Diceros bicornis minor: one gene and its partner. The protein of the gene in region 1 binds, or shares a complex with, the protein of each later gene. Links are inferred from orthologs where the notes say so. Each region holds a gene or a part of one and is shown on either strand. Other genes may lie near its edges. The genes, in order: XIRP2 and NEBL.

Region 1 (3,925 bases):
AAAAGGAGGGAAAGGATGTCCTCAAATTAGGGATTGGCAAGTGGTTGTATTTTGTCAGAAATCCTCTAATTTTAACGTAACCTCATAAATATAACTTCATATCCCTTATTCTCGTTAAACCAAGTTGAGTTATTTGATGTATAAGCATGACCTCATTGTAACTACTATATATGTCCCAACAGGAAAACCGGGAGCAAGTATTAGCAAAATAATTTATTTTGAAAAATTTTCTATTTCTGTGAATCCTTTATAAAGACTAATTATCCATTAATAAGGGTAAGACTGCACCTTCCTGATAACTATCACTACGTAAAAAAATTAAAAAAGCATGGAGTTTGCTTCCCTATGGAAAACCTGAGATCATTTATTCTTTATGAATTTCAACCATAATCTCTTATGTAGGGGCCCTAATGAGTGTACAACATTCAAGCAATTCCAGTTTAAACAATAGTTGCTTTTAATTGGCAGCAGAAGTATAAATGTAGTCTTCATTAATAATATTGCTAATTCTGTTTCTTGGATTTGATTAAATACTCTCTTTAGCTAATAGATCTATTTTATATGTGACATTATAGTATACCATAATCACTGAGGCATGATCATCTACCACAAAATATTCTAGACTCTATGCTTACTGGTTTAAATATACTATCAATAATCTTCACAAGATCCCTGTTAAGTAGCAGATTAAGACGTCTGTATTTGAAAAGTTAAGTGTCATGCAGCTAGAGAAATAAATGGCAGGTTTTAGGATTAAAATCTGTTATTGTGGTTCCAGAGCCTTCACTTGTTCCATTTTGCCATCATTGCTGATAAATCCTCACTGAGCTCTAGTTAAATGCAGTACTATTTGTTAGAGATTTGAAGTATAAAGAGTGATAAGAAATTGTCCCTGCCTCTAAGGAACTTATAACCTAGTTGAGAAAACAGAGCATGTACATAAAGAAACATCAACATAAGAGGGACTATCAGAGCTATTTCTGCGGGAGTGAAAGGAGGTCAAATTCCCATCGGAACAAACCACAGAGGAAGTCAATAACAGAGGGTGCCACATTTCATACTATATTACATAGGTGCTTCAGGACATCTGTCTAGAGCACAGGTGAGGGAAAAAGCATTACATGCTTAGAGATAAATAGCAGGCTAGACAAGCTGCCTAGCTTGTCAACCATAAACCTCAACTCTCAATCAATGGCTCCTTACCTTTCGGCTGTACTCAGCCTGTGCGGCTGGGATGTTTCCACTCCTGGGAGCCTCGAACACACTCCTGAGCTCATCAAGGGCAATGGAGAAGCGCTCGATCCTGCGTCGACCGTTCAAGGAATCCCCCTTCAGCACTTCAGGCCGGCCATATTCCCTGGAGATGTCACTCTTGTCCTCAGGGCCCTTTTCTTCAGGCTCTGAGCTCAACATTTCTTCTCCTACACTGTGGGCCAGACTTGGATCTGGAGGTCTAGGTGCTGACACTACCTCTCCTTCAGGTTCAAGCAATTTGCTTTCTCGAGGCTGGAAGAGCCTGCAACGACTGCCCGTGGGACAACACTCGCTTTTCTGGCAATCACTGGATTCCCATTTCTGCCTCAGGAGGCTCAGGGAGCCCTTCTGCATTGGGAACACGGACGGCTTCTGGTTGTCCTGCAATATCAAAAGTCCTTCCTTCAAAGATACATTCAGGCGTGTGAATCATTTGCAAAGTGCTGTGTTTAGCAATGCTAGCTCTTGGGGTTTGTGTTTCAATGTAGAAATCCAGCTTTGCTATATAATTTCTGGCTCTTGACTTGACCCTACAAAGTTATGTCAGTTAACCCAGAATTAGACAGATTATGGAGAGGACGGATTTGTACAGCTATGGTTTTGTAGGAGGTCATCGAAAGGACGTGACCGCCAGGTGACCCTGAAGCTGGACCGAGCAATAGAAGCCTCCTCACTCCCTCCCCTGTCCTTGAAATATACGTTCTGCCCACCCTTCCCACACTAGGAGCCATTTCAAGGACCCAACCTTGAGAGAGTAATGTGCTGTTGAGACCATCTGGACTGAATACGTGACTGAACCCTGTTGAGACCTCTATATAAAGTTTTAAGATTCTGGCAGGCAGGTGCAGATATCTGCTCATCTTGCAGCCACCCAAGACAAGCCTCATATGTAAGTTCTCTTGCTTATTAAAACTGCCACCTACCAATCTGGAGTGATCTACCTCTTTCTTCAGTCTGTCTTTGCCCTCCATGTTGGGGATGGGGCCAGTCTCGAATTTTACCCAGGAAGCCACAAGGTTGCAAACCAACACATGCACATTTGAATATAAAGAGACAAAAACTAGGAAAATGTGATTTTCTTCCCATTTCCTTCTATGTTAAATCAGCGAACAATTACTTACAATGTAAAACTTGAACAATGTTCTTTCATTGTTTAGTATATTCTGAGAAAAGTGCAATTTTACAAGTCTAACACTCAAGAAAAGGGTTCATTTCCTATCGGAAATAGTTCAGGACTTCCTTAGAAATTATTGGTCTCTGCAAATGTCTTACTTCAGAAGTAAAAGATTAACAGCTAACAGTTATTAAGTTTTTGCTATAAGGCAAATGCTTTGATAATAACTTTATACATATATCTCATTTTAATACCAACATCATCACAATGAGTTAGTTGCTGCTATTTCTATTTTCCAGGTAAGGAAATTGAGAAGTAATTTGCCCAGGGTCCTGAGTGACAGAACCTGGATTTGAAATACATCTGTGTGACTCCAGAATTGCCCTCAACCACTGGAGTGTAATGTCTATTTTGTATTTTGTGTCCAATTCACATCTCATTGTGAAACTGATTAGAATCTCACCTTGTTTTAGAGTTTTGTGGTGAGTAGAAAAAAATCAAATGGCAAAATGTACTCATATCAGAAACATATACATCATGCGCACAAATCATAGGCAGCAAGAGTTACACACAAGCATGAATTTTTGCCATGGGAAGAGCTACTTTCTGTTCTAACCCAGAGATTCTATGTTGCAAATTTGGAGCTTTAAAAAATAAATTTTGCTCTTGAGAGATGATGCATTTTCCTGGAAAAGCATTAGTACAGTGGGTATGGTAAACAACCTTACTTAGATGAAGGCCTGGAAGTATCTCAAAAGGTCACCTAATACAATGGCTCCAGAATTCTTTGACTGCAAACCACATTATAAAAAGCATTTTATGCTTTAGGACACAGTGCACATACAACATTAATAAATATACACATATATACAAAAGAAACAAACTTTTGTTTTCATTGAACAATACTTTCCCTTACTACTTGAAATGTCTAGCGATATTTTCTACTCTGGTATCCTTCACTTTTAAAAAAAGGTTTGCTGCCCACTAAATTGATTTAATGGTCTACTAATGGTTCATGGACTGCTGGCTAGCTCTATACTTACAGCAGGAGTCCAATTCCAGGTTGGGTTTTACTAACTGTGTGACCTTGCAAAAGCTTCATTGGTAAAATGGATTTATATACATCATGGCTTTATTTTGAAGAACACATTAGATAATGCATATAAAATTTCTAGTGTGTATTAGACCTGCCAAAAGCTGTTAATTCCATTACAAGCCCCATCTCTGGCTAAAATAACATCATTTTGATCACTCAAATATTTCTTCTACACACAAGCCTACTAGATAAAAGTGGTTGGGAGAAGAAAGGAACGTATTTTAAGCCACAAATCCATAGACTGGACAGACTGGAAAATTTGGCTCTAATAATATTGCTAATTAATAAGTTTGGATTAGTCACTTATTATAGAAAGTCTCAATAAAACAGTAGCACAAAACAAGACCTGAATATCTGTTTGGGATACTGATCAGCATATGTTGAGAATTTAATCAGCACATGCTGGAAATGTCTGTGTCTCATGTGTATATGGACTTCAGAATAGATCTTATTAACAAGGG
Region 2 (3,925 bases), on another chromosome or scaffold:
ACCAGTGCACTGAATTAAATGTGGGACACAATAGATGGGCACCATCATAGGTATAATGTAGTCTTGATTGGAACTGCATCTAACTTAGTGCAGTGATACGTCCCCTGTTTTATACCTGTTTTAGCTCCGTGATTGATACAACTTCAAATACACATCTTAGACAACCATCTAGTCGTGCAGACAATATAATAGACATATGAACTACAAATTCAAGTTCTTCTGCTCCATGCAAAAACATTGATGACACTGAGAATAAATCAGCAAGGTATTACTTAATACTTTTTAACTAAACTTCTAAAAACTTGAAATTTGATTTAGTCTAATACACAAAGTCCTTCCAGAAAGGGTAAGTTAAAATTTGTTTTTAAAATGATAGTACAAACTCTGCATTTTTTTGTTAGAAACACAAAAAGTAATTGTTCAGACTATTTATCGGTAAATATAAAAATTCTAAAAATTAAACCAGTATCTTCAGAAAGACAGAATTCCATTTGGAAATAAAATGTGAACTTGTACATACATATAAATAAATTAGGCCACAGAAATATGATTTAAATATTTAAGTAGTACAGACATTCTGTCACGCAACATAAATTTATAATAAACATTGTTTAATTACTCCCACTTGTTTGATTTCACCTACATGGGCGCCAAATAACATGGCTCCGGCTTTTGCAACATAGTAAAGGCCATCACCCTCACCACAAGGCTGGTTTTATAGTCACTGAGAAACAATGTTACCAAAACAACACCAACAAAATCACCTACTAACTAAAGTCGCTACTTTAGTTCTAATGATTTATATGACATAATTTAGCTCAGCCACAACTACACTTCGGTGAAATATAACAACGCTGGAGGAGGTACTATCTCTAGAGTTATGAAACTTAAGGTTTTCAACGGTATCATTACTATTACTAATACTAGTGTAATAAATAATACTAAAGCTAAGATACATTTTGCGTGGAAATCACAGTGAGAGGTAACACAGCACAGCGGCTAAGAGAGAGGGCCTTGTGTTCAAGCCCTGCCCCCCACTGCTTAACTGTGTGACCCAGGCAAGTTACTTAACCTCTCTGAGCCTTCATTTCTTCACCTCTAAAAGGGGAAAAACAATAGAATCTACCTCATAAGCTGCAATGCCTGGCAGACAGTACTCAATAAATCTTAACTGTGGCTGATATTATTGTTGTTGTTGTCATTTTATTATTATTACCACAGTTTATGAAGAACTTTCACATGCAGTAGCTTATGACATGAAGCAACTGCACAAAGAAATACTTCATTTAAAATTTAATTACATCACATGTCAAATACACGGGAAAGGGTATGATTCCCACCATCCTTTGGCTCTTTCCAACAAACCAGAGGGCAACAGAGAGTCATACATAAAACGTGATTGGATGGATATAAAAGTCATGTACAGATGTAGGGGTTAATAACAGCTAGCACTTCTTGAGTACTCACAATGTTCCAGACAGTTTACTAAACATTTCAGATGTGTTACCATCACTTAATGTTACTATTATAAACGCTGCCCTTGAGGAATGGAGTCTCGCCAGTTACAAAACCTGCCCACGGTTACTACAAAGTTGACTCAGGCAGGTGGACTTCAGAGAACATGCCAGCACGCTACCCTGCTGCCCAGGACTGACTTCCTTTGAAAACAAACATTTTTAAAATACTCTAATCACTTTGTTTATTACCAACAACGGAAACAACCAGTACCATGCTCGCCTCTCTAAATGGCAGGCACATACCCACTTCTCGTGAGCCATCTTTCCCCTGGACCAGCAATTCTCTTGCAACTGTTTTAATGAGGATCATCTACATTCTCATTCCTACTGAGGAATACTTTTCATTGTGCTTCTACAATTCTAGTTTACATATTTACTATAAATATATACATATATATGAGTTAAATAATTCTATCATTGTAGAACTCCCTTGAAATATAATATAGACTGATCTTGGTTACTGAAAAAAGTCACAACAAAAATGTTCCTTTTCACTAATATCATCATCATCTCATTCAGGGTCTTAACATGCAGTTCAGTAACCCATGAATCCTCAATCGTAAATAAATGTTAGATGCATATAGATATAAGCATTTTCCTGGTTTGGAAAACTGTTGCTTTCATCAGATTCCTCAAAATGTTTCCAAAATGTTAAAAAAAAAAAAAATCATTCATTTAAAGATCCCCCCCCAAACAAATTCTATCATTATATAAATTTTAAAAGGCTTTGGGGTTTTCAAACAAACTTGCTCTGAAATTCAATGTTTTATGATTTCATGCCAGAGTGACAGTGGACTCCACAAGGGACAGGATTCTGGATTAAGAACATGGAGAACTGCTCCCACAGAAATTCTCTGCATGGGTGACCTTGAGGAAATCACCTGCCATGTCTGGACTTAGCTCCATGATCTGGAAAATAATTATATTTGACTAGGTGATTTCAGGGTTTTCTCCCCAGCTCTGTGATTCTACAACATAACAGTGCCACACACACTACGCAAAATAAGGCAAACATTACTTAAGCCACTTACATCACTAATGAGTTGGGTGCATTTTTTGGCCAATTTCATCCTCAGGTCGTCAATAACAGGCTTAAAGAATACCTGCCCGGAAAAAAAGGAAACACTGTTCTAATCATCAACTTAAAGCAACACATACTGTTCCTCAGCAGGTGCCTTCCCACTCACCTCATCTTCTTCATTTTCTTCTTCCCCTGTTTTTTCCTCTTCAGTTTCATCTTTTACATCCTCGAATACAGGGACCTTCATTTTTACTCTTTATATGTATATATATATATTTGTGTGTGTATATATATATATATATATTTTTTTTTTTTTAATTCACCAGTGTAGCACCTTTCTATGTACTACAGCACCCTGAGATCTCAGAGTCTCTGGTGTTCTGGCAAGAATGACCTTGCCCAGGCCTCCTCCCCATTTAGCTCACACTTCACTCTCCTTATCACAACTGTGTGTGAGTGGATGGAACAGGATCGCAGAGTTCGGCCAGAGCTAGCCTCCCAAGTGGAAATAACATTCTAACAGGCAAATTTTAATTTTACGAACTTTGAAAGTCAACATTCTTTAAATTGGTTAAGAAATCCCAAAGAGACTATTTATTTATACTTCATTAATTCAATTCATTCATAAAATAGCTTGAAAGAGACTTAAAGATTCTGGGAACACTACTCCGCTGTAACACTCAAGAGAGCAGAGTCCACAGCCTGTTATCTCAAAGATTCCTCAACTCCATCTAAATAAAGCTTTCGCTGGAATGTCAGACATACCTCTTCTGATTTGGTATAGTGAATCTGGATCATTCAAACTCATTTCATTAACCTAAATTAAATTTTTATGAGACATACATATACTTTTCACATTCTAAAAAATACTCATATTAGCTGATTAAACGCTAGTAATTTATTAAGAAAAGCCCTTTGAACCACTTCAAAGAATCTATTCTGAGATAATCATGACTGTTAATCTTATATTGCTATTGTATTATTTTAATTGTAAACATCATTAAACATGAGAAGTTGCAGTTAACACAGGTTGATATATCACTTAAGAATTCTAGAAACATCATTTCAAAAAAATAATAATTATCCTCTTTCAATTCTGCGCATTGTGCCAATTTTTACAAATTCACTAGTTATTTGCATATTCCTCAATATGTACTACACATTTGGAAAAGTTTAGAAGAATTAACTATAACAATATGTATAATGCAGCATGTGTCATTGGTTATACAATTAAAATACATTTCATAAAACAAGTCCTTCAATTTCAATTTAGGCAATCCTAAGATGCTATGCAACTCATAATTTATCAATTTGGTTATTTAAATCCAAGGGTAAACTAATATTTATAAAGCCATAGCTTTATAAATAAAAAAAAAATACCCTATAG

What was found.
Region 2: the proteins of XIRP2 (region 1) and NEBL are in contact, whole or in part, in a crystal structure (PDB 4F14), measured with the Homo sapiens proteins. The link is inferred for Diceros bicornis minor from reciprocal best matches to the Homo sapiens genes XIRP2 and NEBL. Residues at the interface, in NP_689594.4 of Homo sapiens: Pro2420, Pro2421, Pro2422, Thr2423, Leu2424, Pro2425, Lys2426, Pro2427; in NP_006384.1 of Homo sapiens: Tyr963, Asp964, Tyr965, Asp969, Asp971, Glu972, Ile987, Asp988, Asp989, Gly990, Trp991, Met1004, Pro1006, Asn1008, Tyr1009.

The regions. Positions count from the first base shown.
Region 1 is NC_080749.1:48,852,007-48,855,931, reverse strand, and holds the start of XIRP2 (xin actin-binding repeat-containing protein 2), read right to left. Parts: upstream 2,226-3,925; coding exon 2,178-2,225; intron 1,636-2,177; coding exon 1,204-1,635; intron 1-1,203.
Region 2 is NC_080775.1:20,689,137-20,693,061, forward strand, and holds the start of NEBL (nebulette), read right to left. Parts: upstream 2,839-3,925; 5' UTR 2,786-2,838; coding exon 2,705-2,785; intron 2,621-2,704; coding exon 2,549-2,620; intron 1-2,548. UniProt on the Homo sapiens protein: Binds to actin and plays an important role in the assembly of the Z-disk. May functionally link sarcomeric actin to the desmin intermediate filaments in the heart muscle sarcomeres.